2 linked regions of the Rhinolophus ferrumequinum genome follow. The protein of the gene in region 2 interacts with the protein of the main gene of each other region in a biochemical or structural test. Links are inferred from orthologs where the notes say so. Each region holds a gene or a part of one and is shown on either strand. Other genes may lie near its edges.

Region 1 (7,667 bases), on a different chromosome or scaffold from region 2:
GTATTTGATTAAGGCAGGTCAAATCGGAGGAGTGGGGTGGGTGGAGCTCTGGCGGAGGGGCTGAAAGGGGGCTCAAGGGGCTCTGGGAGCAGCTTCAGTATAAAATAGACAACCGTTTATTTTGTACTTTCCTCCTACAAAAACAGGCTGAAGTGAGGAAAGGCAACTCAGATTTATTTCAATTTATCTTGTGAGAGACCTACATTTGAGACTTAAACTAGTTGTAGAACTGTCCTTAGATAGTTGACCTTTATGGGTATCACATTCTGTCTCTTTTAAAATTATTTTAAATTACACAAATAAAACATCCTCTTGGTAAAAAGTTCGAATACATAGTATAGTAATATATGGAATAAAAAGCAAAAGTTCGCTTTACCCTTCCTCATTCCACTTCACTCCCCAGGGATAACCATTGGTGTCAGTTATGATGTGTGTGTGTGTGTGTGTGTGTGTGTGTGTGTGTGTGTGTGTATCTTTCCAAAACCTTTTTTGCATTTAGTTATATGTAGATATAGACAGTTATTTTCTCCTACACAAATGGTAACATACAGATTATGCCATCGCTTTTTTTTCTGGTCACTTAAATTTTGTATTTAACAATATATCTTGGAATCATTTCATAACAGTACATATAGATTTACCTCATTCTTTTAAAAAGAGTTCATAGCATTCCACCGTATGACAATACCATACATTTATTTAACCTCTTCCGTATTGTTTCCAATCTTTTGGAGCCTCATAAACAATGCAGCAGTGGATATCTTTTTTTTTTTTTTTTTTGGTCAAAATTCACTTTGTTTTTTAACTTTATTTCATCGGAATGGGATAACAAAATTGGCACACAAAGGACACTGATACTGGGCCTAATTACAGAAAATGCCTCCAGATAAGTGGTAGGAAGATGAAAGAAACAAAAATAAACAAAGAAATTGGAGTTTTCAGAAAGTGAGTTCTGGGCCCGCCTGGTAGCTGGGGTGGTTGGAGCGCGGTGCTCCTAACACCGAGGTTGCCAGTTTGATTCACAAATGGGCCAGGGAATTGCGCCCTCTACAGCTAAGATTGTGAACAATAGCTCTTCCTGGAGCTGGGCTGGCGCAAGCTGCCACGGAGCTGTGTCCTACACAACTAGACTGAGAAACAATGGCTTGAACCAGAGTGGGGCGGGGGAGGGGGGGAAGAAGGGGGGAAAAAAAAACGAAAGTGAATTCAAATGTTAGTTCTGCCACAATCTATGACTGGAGATGAGTTGTCCTGTCTAAGCCTGTTTTCTCCTCTGTCATTGGATTTGAGATCACTCACTTTACCACTTTAACAGTCTGAACCAGTCTTTTGTCACTGGTATGTCCCTTTTTGGCCATGTGACACCACACTGGTCCAGGCTAAGGAGAGAAGGCCACAGTGGTTGAGTTGCTTTGAGGATCTGGACTTGGCTCAATAAAACCACTTGGTTTGCTCAGATCGGGCAGCCTGGGCCCAAAGCTGGGCCTGACAGTCTGGTGACACCACACCTAAACCTTAGGTACCAGGGAACAGAGGGATGAGGAAGGATCAGCACCAATTCTGGAGTGAGGAACCCAATGAAAATAGAGCTCTCCAATTCTGGTTCTAATTTTTCTACCCAGGCTGTTTTAAATCAGGTTCTTCCCAAATGAAAAAGATCTCAACTCTTATGCAACCTGTTCTCCCCCATCTTTTTAAAAATCTTTTTGTTTTGACAAACTTGTAAGAAATCAAGACAGCTTTTCCATAGGTGATGCCTCTTGGACCTTCATCTCCCTGATTGCCATTCTCCCATAACTAAATGCAAACTCTCCCAGGACTGTGCTTTGTCTTCCCAGTGTCCCAAATGCTCAATATGCTTACAGTAGATGCTGTTGAACAGGTGAATAATCCCCTCACCTGGACTGAAAGGCCGTGTGTGTGGGGAGGGGAGAGGGGTGAATGCTGATGACAAACCCTGGAATTAAGGTGAGACTCCTCATGAGTGAATATCTTGATACATTCATTCACCTCTGTACAAATTTGCAATATTCACTTGCAGAATAAATGTCTAGATATGGGATTATTGGGTCGGTGGGTCTGTGCATTTTCAATTTTGATAAACTTGGTCAAAATGGCTGCTATCCATAGAGGTTTTTAGCAATTTTTTACAGCAGCATTGAAAAGAAGGACCTTATTCCTCATCCTTGGTCTGTTAAAGAGGCCTTTTCTATCACTAACATTGTAATTCTATAAAGCTACTTCTCTGTTTCCTGATATTTCAGCACTTATTTGCTCATGTCTGCCATGTGCCAGGCACTGTGCTAGGTGCTGGGAATACAGCTCGGAACAAGACTAAAGCAATCCTTGTCCTTGCTGTATGTGAGGTCCTGAGTCTCATTCAGTTGCTTGAAAACACGAGACACGCAGTAAATGTTTGCTGAAAGAGTTGGCCTCGAACCAAGGAAAAGCAGGTGTCAAAAAGTACTTTTAGGTGAAATAAGCCAGTCACAAAAAGACAAATAGTGCATAATTCCACTCATATGAGATATTTCAAGCAGTCAAAATCTTAGAAAGTAGAATGGTGGTTGTCAGGGACTGAGGGAGGAAACGAGTTGTTTATGGGTATAGAATTTTAGTTTTGCAATATGAAACGGTCTAGAGGTCAGTCGCACACCAATATGCATCTAATTGACACCAACGTATGGTACACTTAAAAATGGTTAAGATGGTAAATTTTGTTACCTGTTTTTACCACAATAATAATAATAAAGTATGTTTAGGCACAAAAGGTAGTGCTTCTGAGCTTAGCCTCAAAACGGGGTGATGAGGAAGACACTTGATTTTTTATTTTTTAACAGGACTTTATTGGGGAACAGTGTGTACTTCCAGGACTTTTTTCCAAGTCAAGTTGCTGTCCTTTCAGTCTTAGTTGTGGAGGGCGCAGCTCAGCTCCAGGTCCAGTTGCCGTTGTTAGTTGCAGGGGGCGCAGCCCACCATCTCTTGCACGACTCTAGGAGTCTAACTGGCAACCTTGTGGTTGAGAGTCCACTGGCCCATGTGGGAATCGAACCAGCAGCCTTCGGCGTTAGGAGCATGGAGCTCCAACTGCCTGAGCCACTGGGCCTGCCCAAGATACGTTTTTTTTTTGAAAGGTAAAAGTGCCAACCAGTCAATGCTTCCTTTCCAGTGCTCCCGTCCTCCTCTGGGAACAGATGAGCATAAAATCTTATCATCTACTATAGAAAATACATTCTAGGGCCAGCCTGGTGGCTAAGGTGGTTGGAACACCGTGCTCCTAAAGCCGAGGTCACTGGCTTGATTCCCACATGGGCCAGTGAGCTGCGCCCTAGGTCTACAGCTAAGATTGTGAACAATGGCTCTCCCTGGAGCTGCGCTGCTGTGAGCAGCTGGAGGTTGGCATAAGCTGCTGTTGGCTGCTGTGTGTGCTGCCCTAAGCTACCGTGAGTCACCAGGAGTGGCCAGCAGCCACCATGAGTGGCCAGCAGCCAGAGTGAGTGGTCGGCAGCCAGCGTGAGCAGCCGGCAGCCAGTGAGAGCTGCCAGTGAGCTGCTGTGAGTGGCCCACCATAACCAGCGACTGGCTGCCTCAGCAAGGGGTGGGGGAGTGCAAGGCTCATAATACCAGCATGGGCAGAGGAGCTGTGTTCTACACAACTAGACTGAGAAACAAAGCTTGAACCAGAGTGGGGGCGGGGAGGCGGAAGAAAGGCGGGGGAATAAAAGAAAATACATTATAGAAAAAGATATGTTTCTATGTTTTTTCTCCCAAGAACAAATGGCACTGGTATCCTTTCTGGTACCGCTTACAAGGCATAAACCAAACGAGAATTTTAGCTTCCTATCTCTCTTTTAGGGGTCCCCTCTTCAACAAGTAGAATGAGAAGAAAAAGTTGTCTTGATGAAAGTGAGGCAAGCTAGGACCCAGTGGGGCCTGAGAGACTACATTCTCCAGCATGCACTGCTCCTCCCCGGGCGCAGTAAGTGACGGGAAAAGACGCATTACTTCTGCGACAGGAATGGGCCGGAGGGAGAGGAATACTGCATATCCCGGGACGCAGAACGTCGCCCTTCTAGTTACGGACTGGCTTGCTTTCTGATGGCTGGCGTTCCCCGCCAAAGGGACGCGAGGGTAGGGGGATGTTTAAGATTGGGAAGCCCCCCAGTCTACTGGACTTGACAAGTGGAAAGAGAAAGGAGTGAAGGAAGGCTGTTCCAGTATAATTCAAAGTAGTTCCCGCGCAGAGTGGCGAGGATTTATGGGGCCCCCTTCCTTATTTATTGTTTCTCAGAGGCAATGCCAGTCCCACGGCCCACAATGGTGAAAGACCTCCAGGGCAGGTGGGAAGTCCGTGAAGCCCCAAATCGAAGTTATCTGCGTCTCCCCATTGGCCTTCGCTCGGGCGCAGGCGCAAGGGCTCTGACTCCAGTCCCTAGGGACGGGAAAGCGGCAATTGGCCAAAGCCCTCGAAGTAGGACTCCGGATTGGTAGTTGCTAGCAGGAGCTTGGTTTCTTCCTTGACTTCTGCAAGTGATAGTGTGTGATTGGTTTAAATCCGCGGGCACCTAACGGTGATTGGGCGGGTGCCACGGGCGGGGTACGATCATTGGCTGGTGCTAGGACCAGCCCTCCTCGGGCGGGCAGCGAATGATGAAATGAGAACGGGGAGGGGAAAGGCCGCGACGTGAGCGCGCGACCTCCGGCGCCATTTTGTAGAGAAACAAGCGGAGTTAACCGAAGGAGGGGGTCGAGGAGAGCCGGAGTCGGGGACCCAGGAGTTTCCTGTGTCCAGCGCTGCCGGAGCCGCCTGAGGTGAGGTGGGCTAAGGCCGGCTGGCGGTGTCAGCTACGGAACGCGGGTGCTGAGGGGGGAAGGACTGGGGGTAGTAGTCCCGGGGCCACTGGGAGCGTTTACCGGAGCTCCGCGGAGTGAGGGGCGGTCGGGACGGGGAAGTGGCGAGACGGGAGAGGTCGGACTCTCTCCCCCTGGCTGGCGGAGTGTTTGGGCTGCGAAGAGAAGAGGCCAGGGCGAAGGCTCCCCAAAGCAGAGGGCAGAGCGCGGGGTGAGACCTGGTGGCCCTCGGCCCGGGCCTGGAGACTCTGAGGGCGACGGTGGCGGTAATACAGACGGCAGGGCCTCACTTCGCGCGGGCTGCACCCTCCTCAGACCCCACGAGCTCCTCAACTGCCTCTTTCTCCCTGGGCTCTCGGATAGGTGCAGTGGGCATTGGCCCCCGAGGCCTAGATCCTGGGGCGAGGGGACTGTGTTTGGAGTAGTTGCAGGCTCCCAGTTCTTTCCCGTCGACTTGGGAGCTGCCAGTCCCCCTCCCCCCGCCCCCAGCACGTTGTCAAACCCCGGGTGTTTCGGGTCCCTGCGGGTGGGAGGGGCGGGCGGGAGCGAGCACTTCCTTATTACTTCTGCCACAGGTTTTGTTCCACTCGCGCGCCCGCGGCTCACACTTTCTCCGAAGTTGGCCCCCACCCACTTGGTCCAGTGTCTGTGCTAAAGTGGCCGTTGTGCTCACCCATGGGAAGTGTCCCCCTAGTGAGCTGAGCCCTTGGAGGCCACGATACTGGTGAGAGATTTACTACAGGTCTTGGTAGGGTTGCCGAAGGCCAAACAATATTGAAATTTCACAGACTGAAGTGTCCTTTTTAAGTACCACCTCCTCCGCAGAATTCACCTAACCGGGCTCACACAGATAATTGCCACCACGAGGAGTAAGCTTTCTGGGTTAAAAACAGAAAATGCTTGATAACGGTGTTTGAAAATGTGTTTAAACTTGGAGGAGTAAACTTTTCCCCTGAAGTCACTCAATGAACTGTCACATTTCTCAGGTCTCTTAAAGTCAGTTTTCTTCCTGAAAGCTGAGTAATAATACTTAATCTCCACCTTCCATTATTTATAATTCGATTGCCTTGAGGGATTTATGTTAACAGTGAGTAAATAATTAAGAGAATATAATTTCAGTATTTTTTGCAAAAAAAATTTCGAGCATTTCCCTATGACAGTCTGATAGGAATGGATGAAAAAACGGGAGGACAAGTAAAAAATTTGGAAGTAGGTGAAACAGGTTAAGAAGAAACTTGTTTTTGTAGACATATTTGGTTTTAATGTTAGTGATCTGTGGCCCAGGTTGACATTTCTACCCTTCCAAAGATTGGCAGTATAGTATTTTAGCTGTTAATAATATATATATGGTAACAGTTTAAATAATCATGTTTTAGGAGACTGCATATTGTTACCTTGTCTAAGGAGAAAATGAGCTGATGATACATAAAGTTTTAGACCTCTAGTTGTGCTCTGAAATGGTAGCTTCTTGATAAAACTTGTTTGGAGAGTTTGTCCCTTTTCAACAAGTGTGGATCCCAAGTCCTATAGTAGAAACTTAAGTTTAGAATCAAGGCACAAAGACTTGACCATTAATAACTGAAAGTGTTTCCCTTTCTTGCCTAAGATTGTAATCTTAGAAGTTTTAAGTCAGAAGTTTTGAGGCATGGTGGAACAACTGAAATACTCTATTTCTAGTCACTAAATTTCTGTGAGGGTTTAAATCCTGTCTCTTTAACATGGATCTTGTCAGGCTAAGTACTGTGATATCCTCCTGACTTTGGGTTAGAGCATTGAAAACAAAACAAACCTGTGGGGACAGAAGAGGAAATGCTTGCTATCTCATCAAAACATGCTTAAAGACTAATGTCATTATTCTTGCATGTTGCTTTTTCCAAGTATGTTTTTGGTTAGATTCTGGTTTAGTTAGGAAAAGCTTTCCTTTTAACCAGCTTAAATTTATGAACTGGAATCTTTACTTCATTCTACAAAGTAACAGATCTTTGGCACTCAGTGCCCCAGAAGGGAATTTGTCCACAATGATTATAATTGAATGCTCATATATTTTAAGACACTAATTTTTTTTGTTAGATGCCTGTGCTTCTTGAATTAACAAGTATTGTAGCCCGTCATTTTGAAACACTATATTTTATGAATGTGGTATATTCTTTTATGAAAGAACAAAACTAACTTTCAAGTCATTGAAAAATATTAGCCAAGCATTTCTTAAATGGCCCTCTCACCAAACTGAACTTGCTGCTGGGAAGTTTCAAAATGGCATCCCACTGATTCTTATTTTAAGACCTTATACTGTATATAGAAAAATCCTGCAGTTCCCTTTTCTGTTTGCTTACAGTTTTTAAGAAGCCTGTTTCAAAATTAAAATGGCCTCAAATCCTTTTGTCCTGTGTATACACAATAGTTTATTTCAATGTACTTTTCACATATACCTTTGTAAGGGTGTAGTAAAGCAAATAAAACATATTGTTCATTGAAAAGCATTGTTTGAGATGTCAGTAATTAGAGGTGTAGACTTAATCTGAAATCCTCTGTTGAGATTGAAGAAAAAGCAGCTTTTGGGAGTGTAGACTTGAAGAAATGTGCTTCCGTTTTCTTTTTAATTTTTTATTTTTTCAATTGGGGAGCATTGTGTTTTACCAGGACCCATCATCTCCAAGTCAAGTCGCTGTTTTTTCAGTCTAGTTTTTTTTTGGTTGGGGGGGGGGGGGAGAGCGCATCCCACTGGGCCATGTGGGAATCACACCCTTGACCTTGGTGTTGTGAGCACTGCGCTCTAACCATTGAGTGAACCGCTCTAACCATTGAGTGAACCGGCT
Region 2 (7,050 bases):
GTTAAAATGTCAGCTGGGGCTTGCCACGTCTTCCACGATCAGTGAACATTGGGCCTGGAGAATGTCAGCATTTTCCCCACTATTCTGTAAATTTCTGGGCTGCTTATGTTTTCAAGGCCATTCTAGGTTTGTGACTTCTGGCTCCTGGGTCAGCCTAAGTTCGCTCTTAGATCAGGAAACTTTCCTTCCATCATTTCCTTATTTCTTCTCATCTTCCTCCACCTATTTCATTCTCTCTTCTGGTAACTTTGTAGGGTGTGGATAAGGGATTTGTCTTCCACATACCTTTTCCATAAGCTTTTTGTTTTTTTAAGAAAAGTCATTTTTTTATCTGTTTCCTCTTTCTATTGGAAGAAGTCACCATTTATATTCCCTAATTCAGTCATCCGCGTGTGCAGCCTGCCATCCACTTTCTCCTTTATGTGTCTTTAATCCCAAAACCACACTTGTCATGTCCATTCTGTCCTCCTTTGCTGCTCATTTTCTGTGACAACTATGATCAAGTTACATAGAACCCATGTCAGTCTTGCTGAGAACATGAAATAGACATCAATTCTAACTTTCAGTTGTTGTCTGTGAAGAATTAATTTATTTCTGAAGGAGGACGCAACTGTGAGTCTCCACATAATTGTCGTTTGCTTTTTGAATTACAGCTTTTTTTTTCATTTATTCACCCATATAGAGGGAGAGTTATTTGTCTTTTTTTTTTAAACCAAAAAATTTCTGTCTTTTAATTGTGTCTTGTCTTTTTCTTCTCCTTTTACTTTTTCTTCTTCTCCTTCTTCCTTTTCTTTACGTAACATCTATTTGTGCTCTGCTGGTTTCATTTTAATTCAGTTCAAAGTTCTTTCTAATTTCCTTTTTGCTTCTTTCGTGGATTATTTAGGAATATGTTATTTCGTTTCCAAATATTTGGGGTTTTTCAGACTTATTTCTGTTTTTGATTTCCAATTTCATTTCACTTTGATCAGAGAATATACTTTGCATGATTTTAATCCATTTAAGTTTATTGAGATTTGCTTTATGACTAAGATTATCCTGGTAGACGTCTGTATGCATTGGAAGAGAATGTGGATCCTGCTGTTAGGTGCAACATCCTATAAAAGTCAATTAGGTGAAGTTGGTTAAAATGTTGTATTCAAGTCTTCCACACCCTCACTTGTTTTCAATCTCGTTGTTCTATTAAGTATTGAAAGAGGGATGTTGAAATATCTGCCTTTAATGGTGGATTTGTCTGTTTCTTCTTACTGTTCTGTGACTTCTGTTTCCTGTATTTTGAAGCTGTCTTATTTGGTGAATGAATGTTTAGGATTGCTATTGATCCTTTGTTATTATGAAATCCCCCCCTTTGTCCCTTGTAGTAATTAATAGTAGACATCTCTCCATGGCTGGTAGCAGCAGAGCCGTTCCAGCTTTATTGTGACCAATGTGAGCGTGGGATAGCTTTTTCCATCCACTTCTTTCTCAGCTATTTGTATTTTCTGTTTAAAATGGGTTTCTTTTAGCATGCAGTTGGTTCAATCTGACAATCTCTGTTTTTAAATGGAGTGTTTAGACCATTTACATTGAATGTGATTATTGATGTAGATAGATTAAAATCATGTTCTTTGTTCCCCCTTTTCCTTTTTTATCTGTTTTCTTTTAGATGAAATTAATATTTGTATGATTTTATTTCATCTTCTCTGTTGGCATATGAACTAGGGCTCAATTGTGTTATTTTAGTGGTGGCTTTGGGGTTAATAGTCACCATCCAACTGTTTTATTATATGAAATGTATAGGGTCTACTCCTGGTCCTTGTTCTGTCTCTTAGTGCTTTCTGTGTTATAACTGGTGTTTTATAATTTTGGATTATGAGCTCATCTGCAATAGGAACTTAATCTGTGGAAATTCTGTGAGGCCTGGGTCTAGGGAGTTTGCCTCTGGGTCAGTTTTATGTCTGCCTCGCCAAGGCTCCATTCTTTACGTGTTATTTCTTATTGTCGGTATTCCTGGGTCATAAAAGTAGTATATATTCAAATATCAAAGGCACATGAGGATGGGCCTTGGTTATTAATTGTCAGAGGAGTCCTTTTTTCCTTGACCCAGACTTTAGGTCGAATCACAGCGGCTTCTGTGTTTCCTTGGATGTAAAGGTAAACTTTTTTCTGTTCCACTTTTTCACTGAGGATACAGCACTTGAAGAGCTGTCGTTGCTGTAGAGATTTCAGCCACAGCTCCCCGGGCATGAGACTGTGTCTCCGACACCTGCTGAGGTCCCATCCTGTGGCTTCCAGGTTCCCAGCAAGCACCAGTCCCTCAGGTTGATAACAGTGTTAACACACGTGCTTAGCTCTCCGTTCTCTATTTCTTCTGCCCATTTAGAGAGCTCAGCTATGCACTTAAACGAATGTCTGATATATTTCACCCAGAGGCTCTCCACAGTTATCTGGTCCTCCAGATTGTCAGGAACAGGACTTTCCAGCTTGCTTCTCGGCCCACTATCTGCAGACGTCCACCTCCACAGCTCCAGTGACGCTGCCCCTCCAGCAGCTGTCAGGTTCCTGGGATGCTGCTTCCGCAAGGATGCGTCCAGCACAAGTGGTAACAGACCCGACTAGAGTGGCTTCAGCCACAAAGATGCTTAATTTTCCTGGGACAGGTGGACCCAGGGGCGGGCCGCTGGGTCTGCCAGGGACCCCTTGTCTGCTATGATTGCATAGGACGGTATAGAACAAAACTGGTTTGGAAAAGGCCCTTTTTCCTCTCAGAGGCCCTTTTCACTGCTGCCTGCACGTGAGCCTCCTTTGCTCAAACAGACCCCCAAATTGCAGAGTGACAATTATACGATCTCCTCCTCAGGAAAGTGGTCTGCACAGTTTGTTTACTAGTTTGAGAGAGTATCAGAGCTTAGACTCAACCCCAGGGTGGACAGTGACGGAAGAAAAATCTTTCATTTGACTTACTTTAAATCACCCAGATGCGTTTATTTGGAAGTGACTGGATTAAGTGTCTCATATTTGGCAGAATGGGGGCAGAGGGGCTGGATGTAGGAAGTTTGGCTCAAGACGAAGAAGGGTTTACATTTTTGCCTGCCTGAGTTAGTATCTGACTGTCAAATTTGCATCTGCTACGTCTGTTTACGTTTCTGTTGCTTCTAACAGACAGCGCAGTGCCTCAAGGTCAGACGTCTTGCTGTGTGCATTTCTTTAACATTTCTTTAACACCTCATTCCTCCCTCTCTCCTTCCTGGTGCCTGGGACCAGCCCTGCAACACAGCAGGCGGCTCTACAGGACATCTGGTTAGTAAGAGATGGAATGAATGAATGAACGGGAGGAAACAAGCCCAGTAGATTTTTAAACCACATCTATTTAACTGTATCCTGATTGAGCAGAGAAACTAGAAATGCAGAGAGAGAGAGAGAGAGAGAGAGGGAGAGGAAGAGAGAGAGAGAGGGAGAGCTGCAGACAGAGCAGAGCTACGATAGCTAGAAACAGCCTCATCAGAGCCAGCGGGGCCCCACCTGACTCCTACTGCAGATGCAAAAAAAAAGAAGAAGGGACTGGACGGTTCGGGGGAGCGGTGCCCCGTGTCCCGCAGCTGCTCAGCCCCCACAGCCGCCCACTCCCACTGCTCAGGCGGCTTGGAAGTGGTGGGGGTAAGGGGTGGGGGCGGGGTGGGGAGCAGCCAGAGTCAGGCTTTCCAGAACGAGGCGGAATGGTGTGAGCTCAAACGCCCTGCAGTTGCTGGGCCCGCGGTGGCGAGACTTGGGTTATTCACAAAGGCTGGGAATCGGATGGGGCTGGCACTGCTCCAAGTCGCAGAAGCTGGGGGGAGGGGGAGACGCAGCAGAGCGATTACCCAGATCTTAGCGTTGCAGGGGCTCCAGGGGTCTCCATCTGCATCCGTCCCTCTACCACTGCGTTTTGGGGGTAGGGGGCCCCCTCCAGAAACACTTTATCTGTCAGCTTGTGAGCTGGAGGTGGGGGCGGGGGCCGAAGTTAGGCAGACTCGTCTCGTCACGTGACGGGGGACCTGTATCACGTGATGAGTCCGGTGATGGTGGAGGCAGCATGTGACTCGGGGCTACGTGGGCTCGAAAACAATTTAAACACAAACACACCAGCAGGTCCCCCTCCTGTCCGCTGCCTCTCGGCCTGGCTCTCCCCACCTCGGGGCTGGAGCCCGGCTGGATGGAAGTCCCGTCGTCCCGCGCCCGCTAGCCTGTGAGCACCGCGTCCCTGGAGCTGCAGGGAGCGTCCCGGAGCCGTGCCCGTCATTCTGCAGCCCGCGGACTCCCAGGCTGGTAAGTGACCGCACGCTGAGCGGGGAGCGGTGACGCTGCGTACAGGGCACCCCGGCGGGGCCCTGCCCGGGGCCAGGGCGGCCCGGCCCCTCCGCGCTGCCGGGCTCCTGCGCCCGCGCGGCCGTGGCCCGCGCGGCCCCCCCACGCATCTCGCTGAGGTCTCCCCTGCCCTCACCGTCTCCCTCTCCACCCCACGTCTTGTTTCTCTCTTTTTCGTCGGCCCCACTTTCCCTCTCTCCTCTCTCACTGCTTTTCTGACGAGGTCCTCTCCCCTTCGTCTCTTACATTTATTTTCTTGGACACCTAGGTCTTCATGTTCTTTCCATCCAGAACCTGCAAGGACAGCTTCTGAGCACTTGGGGACTGAAGCTGTGCCAGCTGCCCCTCGTGAAACGTTTCTCGCGCGGAGACCGCGGAGATGGCCCAGTGCCCGTGGTGCTCGCGCACGCACGTGTTCAGGCTGATTGACACATTTTGTGGCGCCGTCAGATGTGTTTCTTGGGTGGATGTTCGTGGGCTCCAGATCCAGCTGAGCTAGGGGACCAGGAGGGGCAGTTACAGCTGTTGGGGGACGCTGCTCCCTGACCCCGGATGTGGACTCCCCACGGGAGAACGCAGGAGGCAGCAGCCGCGCTCAGTGCTTGCAGGCTCCTGGGCCGCGTGTCACAGAGCTGGCTCAGAGTTCGGGGCCACACGTTGGCAGGACGAGGCAGAGCGGTGGCCGAGGCGCATGCGATCACGGCAGTGTCCACAGCCACGCAGCAAGCACTTTGTTGGCTGCAGAAGCCTCTGATTCACTGTTGTCCAGATATGCTGCCTTCACTCGGCAAGAAATAATTAACAATTACTGAGCACAAGGCACCCAACAGCTCAAGGGGGGGGAGGTAGGTGCTATTTTTACCCCCTTGTTAGAGGTGGGGAGACTGAGGCATGAAGCAGGTCACTAGCTAGTAAGGGGTGGAGCTCAGGCAGCTCTTATCCAGAGCCTGCACAGCTGACCACGAAGAAGACCTGCCTCAAAAACTTTCGACTGCCCGGCTATGTGACAGTTAGCGTGCAAACGTTGGGCTGCCTCTATGAGCAAAGCAGACACGGTGTCCTTGCCAAGTTCATGGTGCCGTAGAGAAGGCAGCTCAGAAACACGCCATCACCCAGGCAGGGTGGTATTTCAAACGGGGGTATTGGCCACAGAGGAAATAGTAGGGTGCCACGAGGATATAGAACTGGACACATACTTCTGTGGGGGCCCAAGGTGGCCAGCTGGCCAAAGGAGCCCCCTCTGCTCATGTCATATTTAAGTTGTGACCTGAGAGTCCGCCAGGTGAAGAGCCGGGAAGAATAGTCCGGACAGAGGGAATGGCATGTGTGAGGGCCGTGAGGGCCGAACTGGGGCCAGCTGAGTCCCAGGGCTGAGCACATCAGATTCTGTGGGTCTCTGTAGGTCTTACTAAGTGACTTGCTTGGGTCTCACCGTAGGATCAGTGAGCAATGATGAAAGCATTTTAACTAGGGAAGTAGCACAACCACACCTGCAACATGAGACGACTTCTAGAGGTGTATACGTTCATTTTGGCGATATTGCAAACCACCCCAAACGTAGGGGCTGGACACCGCAGACACCGATAGCTCGTTATGCTGGCAGCTGGCAGTCAGGACGGTCCTTCTTCTTCTTTACCCCGACTGGGTTCCCTCCTGTGCCTCTGGCTGCAGGGGGGTGGTCTTAGGTGGTCTCACTCATGTGTCTCCTGATTAGCAGGTGCAATTGAAATTGCCCGGGCCACGTGTCTCCCTATGGAGCCAGCCAGCTCAGTCTTCTTCATATGGTGGCTGGGTTCCAAAAGTGGCAAGAGAGGGGGTGCCCCAATGCACAAGCACGTTTCAAGCAGCTGCTTCCATCGTTTGCTAGTGTCCCATTGGCCTAGACAAGTCACATGATCGAGGGATGGCGAGATACACCTCTCGACCAGGGAGCTACAAAATATTGTATCTATTTGTTCCCAGCCTACTGTGAATTCAAAATGGGGAGCTGGCTCCAGTCTTCCTCTCTTATGGGAGGAGCTGAAAGCCAGGAGAAAGCCTGGAGCCGATTTTGCTGTGATTGGAGATGAACTTAGACTTGGCCGTATGTCAGACTGTTTTCTGCTTAGAACACGTGGGAGCCTGAGCACCGGTTTTGGACAGGGATCAGGAGGGTGTCAGGAATGTGGTGTAGAAGTGTCCCTTCTCTTCTCTCAGGGTCACCTGGGCCTGACGTGGAGTCCAGGAAGACTTGTGCGATTGTTACCCTGGGATGAAATTTGGGCCACATGGACCTCGGAGTGTGTTGAAGGGTCCCAGACGAGGCGAGAGCACGTGCAAAGACTCCGAGGGAAGGAGGTAGATGGCTTGTTTGGGACCTAGGAGGCACTTTCGCTTATGTGCGTATAGTGGGGATGGAATGGGAGTGGACAGACTCGAAACCTGTTTTAAGAGGTAGAAGTAACAAGCCAAGCCGATGGAGCTGAAGAAAAGGGACAGAGGCAAGGTTAGTGATAGGATTTCCTAAGGAGTTGATTAGAACATTCTTTGGGTGATGGTGTCGGGACGAGAGCAGGAAAAACCTCAAGCATCCTATCCACTGGGTCACATGTTGCTGAGACACTGAGAACATTGAAGGCAGAAAAGTGTCTGTCTGACTTGGCAATGTGGAGGTAGCTGAAGGCTTTGATACGAGCGATTCTGGTGAGGTGGTGAGGATGGAAACCCGGTGGGAGTGGGTTCAGGAGT

Evidence for each region. The genes of interacting proteins can lie anywhere in the genome.
Region 1: the proteins of TNRC6A (region 2) and CNOT1 form a complex in vitro, tested with the Homo sapiens proteins (2 studies listed by BioGRID). The link is inferred for Rhinolophus ferrumequinum from reciprocal best matches to the Homo sapiens genes TNRC6A and CNOT1.

Annotation. Positions count from the first base shown.
Region 1 is NC_046298.1:10,854,776-10,862,442, reverse strand, and holds the start of CNOT1 (CCR4-NOT transcription complex subunit 1), read left to right. Parts: upstream 1-4,659; 5' UTR 4,660-4,812; intron 4,813-7,667.
Region 2 is NW_022680357.1:18,042,524-18,049,573, forward strand, and holds the start of TNRC6A (trinucleotide repeat-containing gene 6A protein), read left to right. Parts: upstream 1-4,038; 5' UTR 4,039-4,284; intron 4,285-7,050.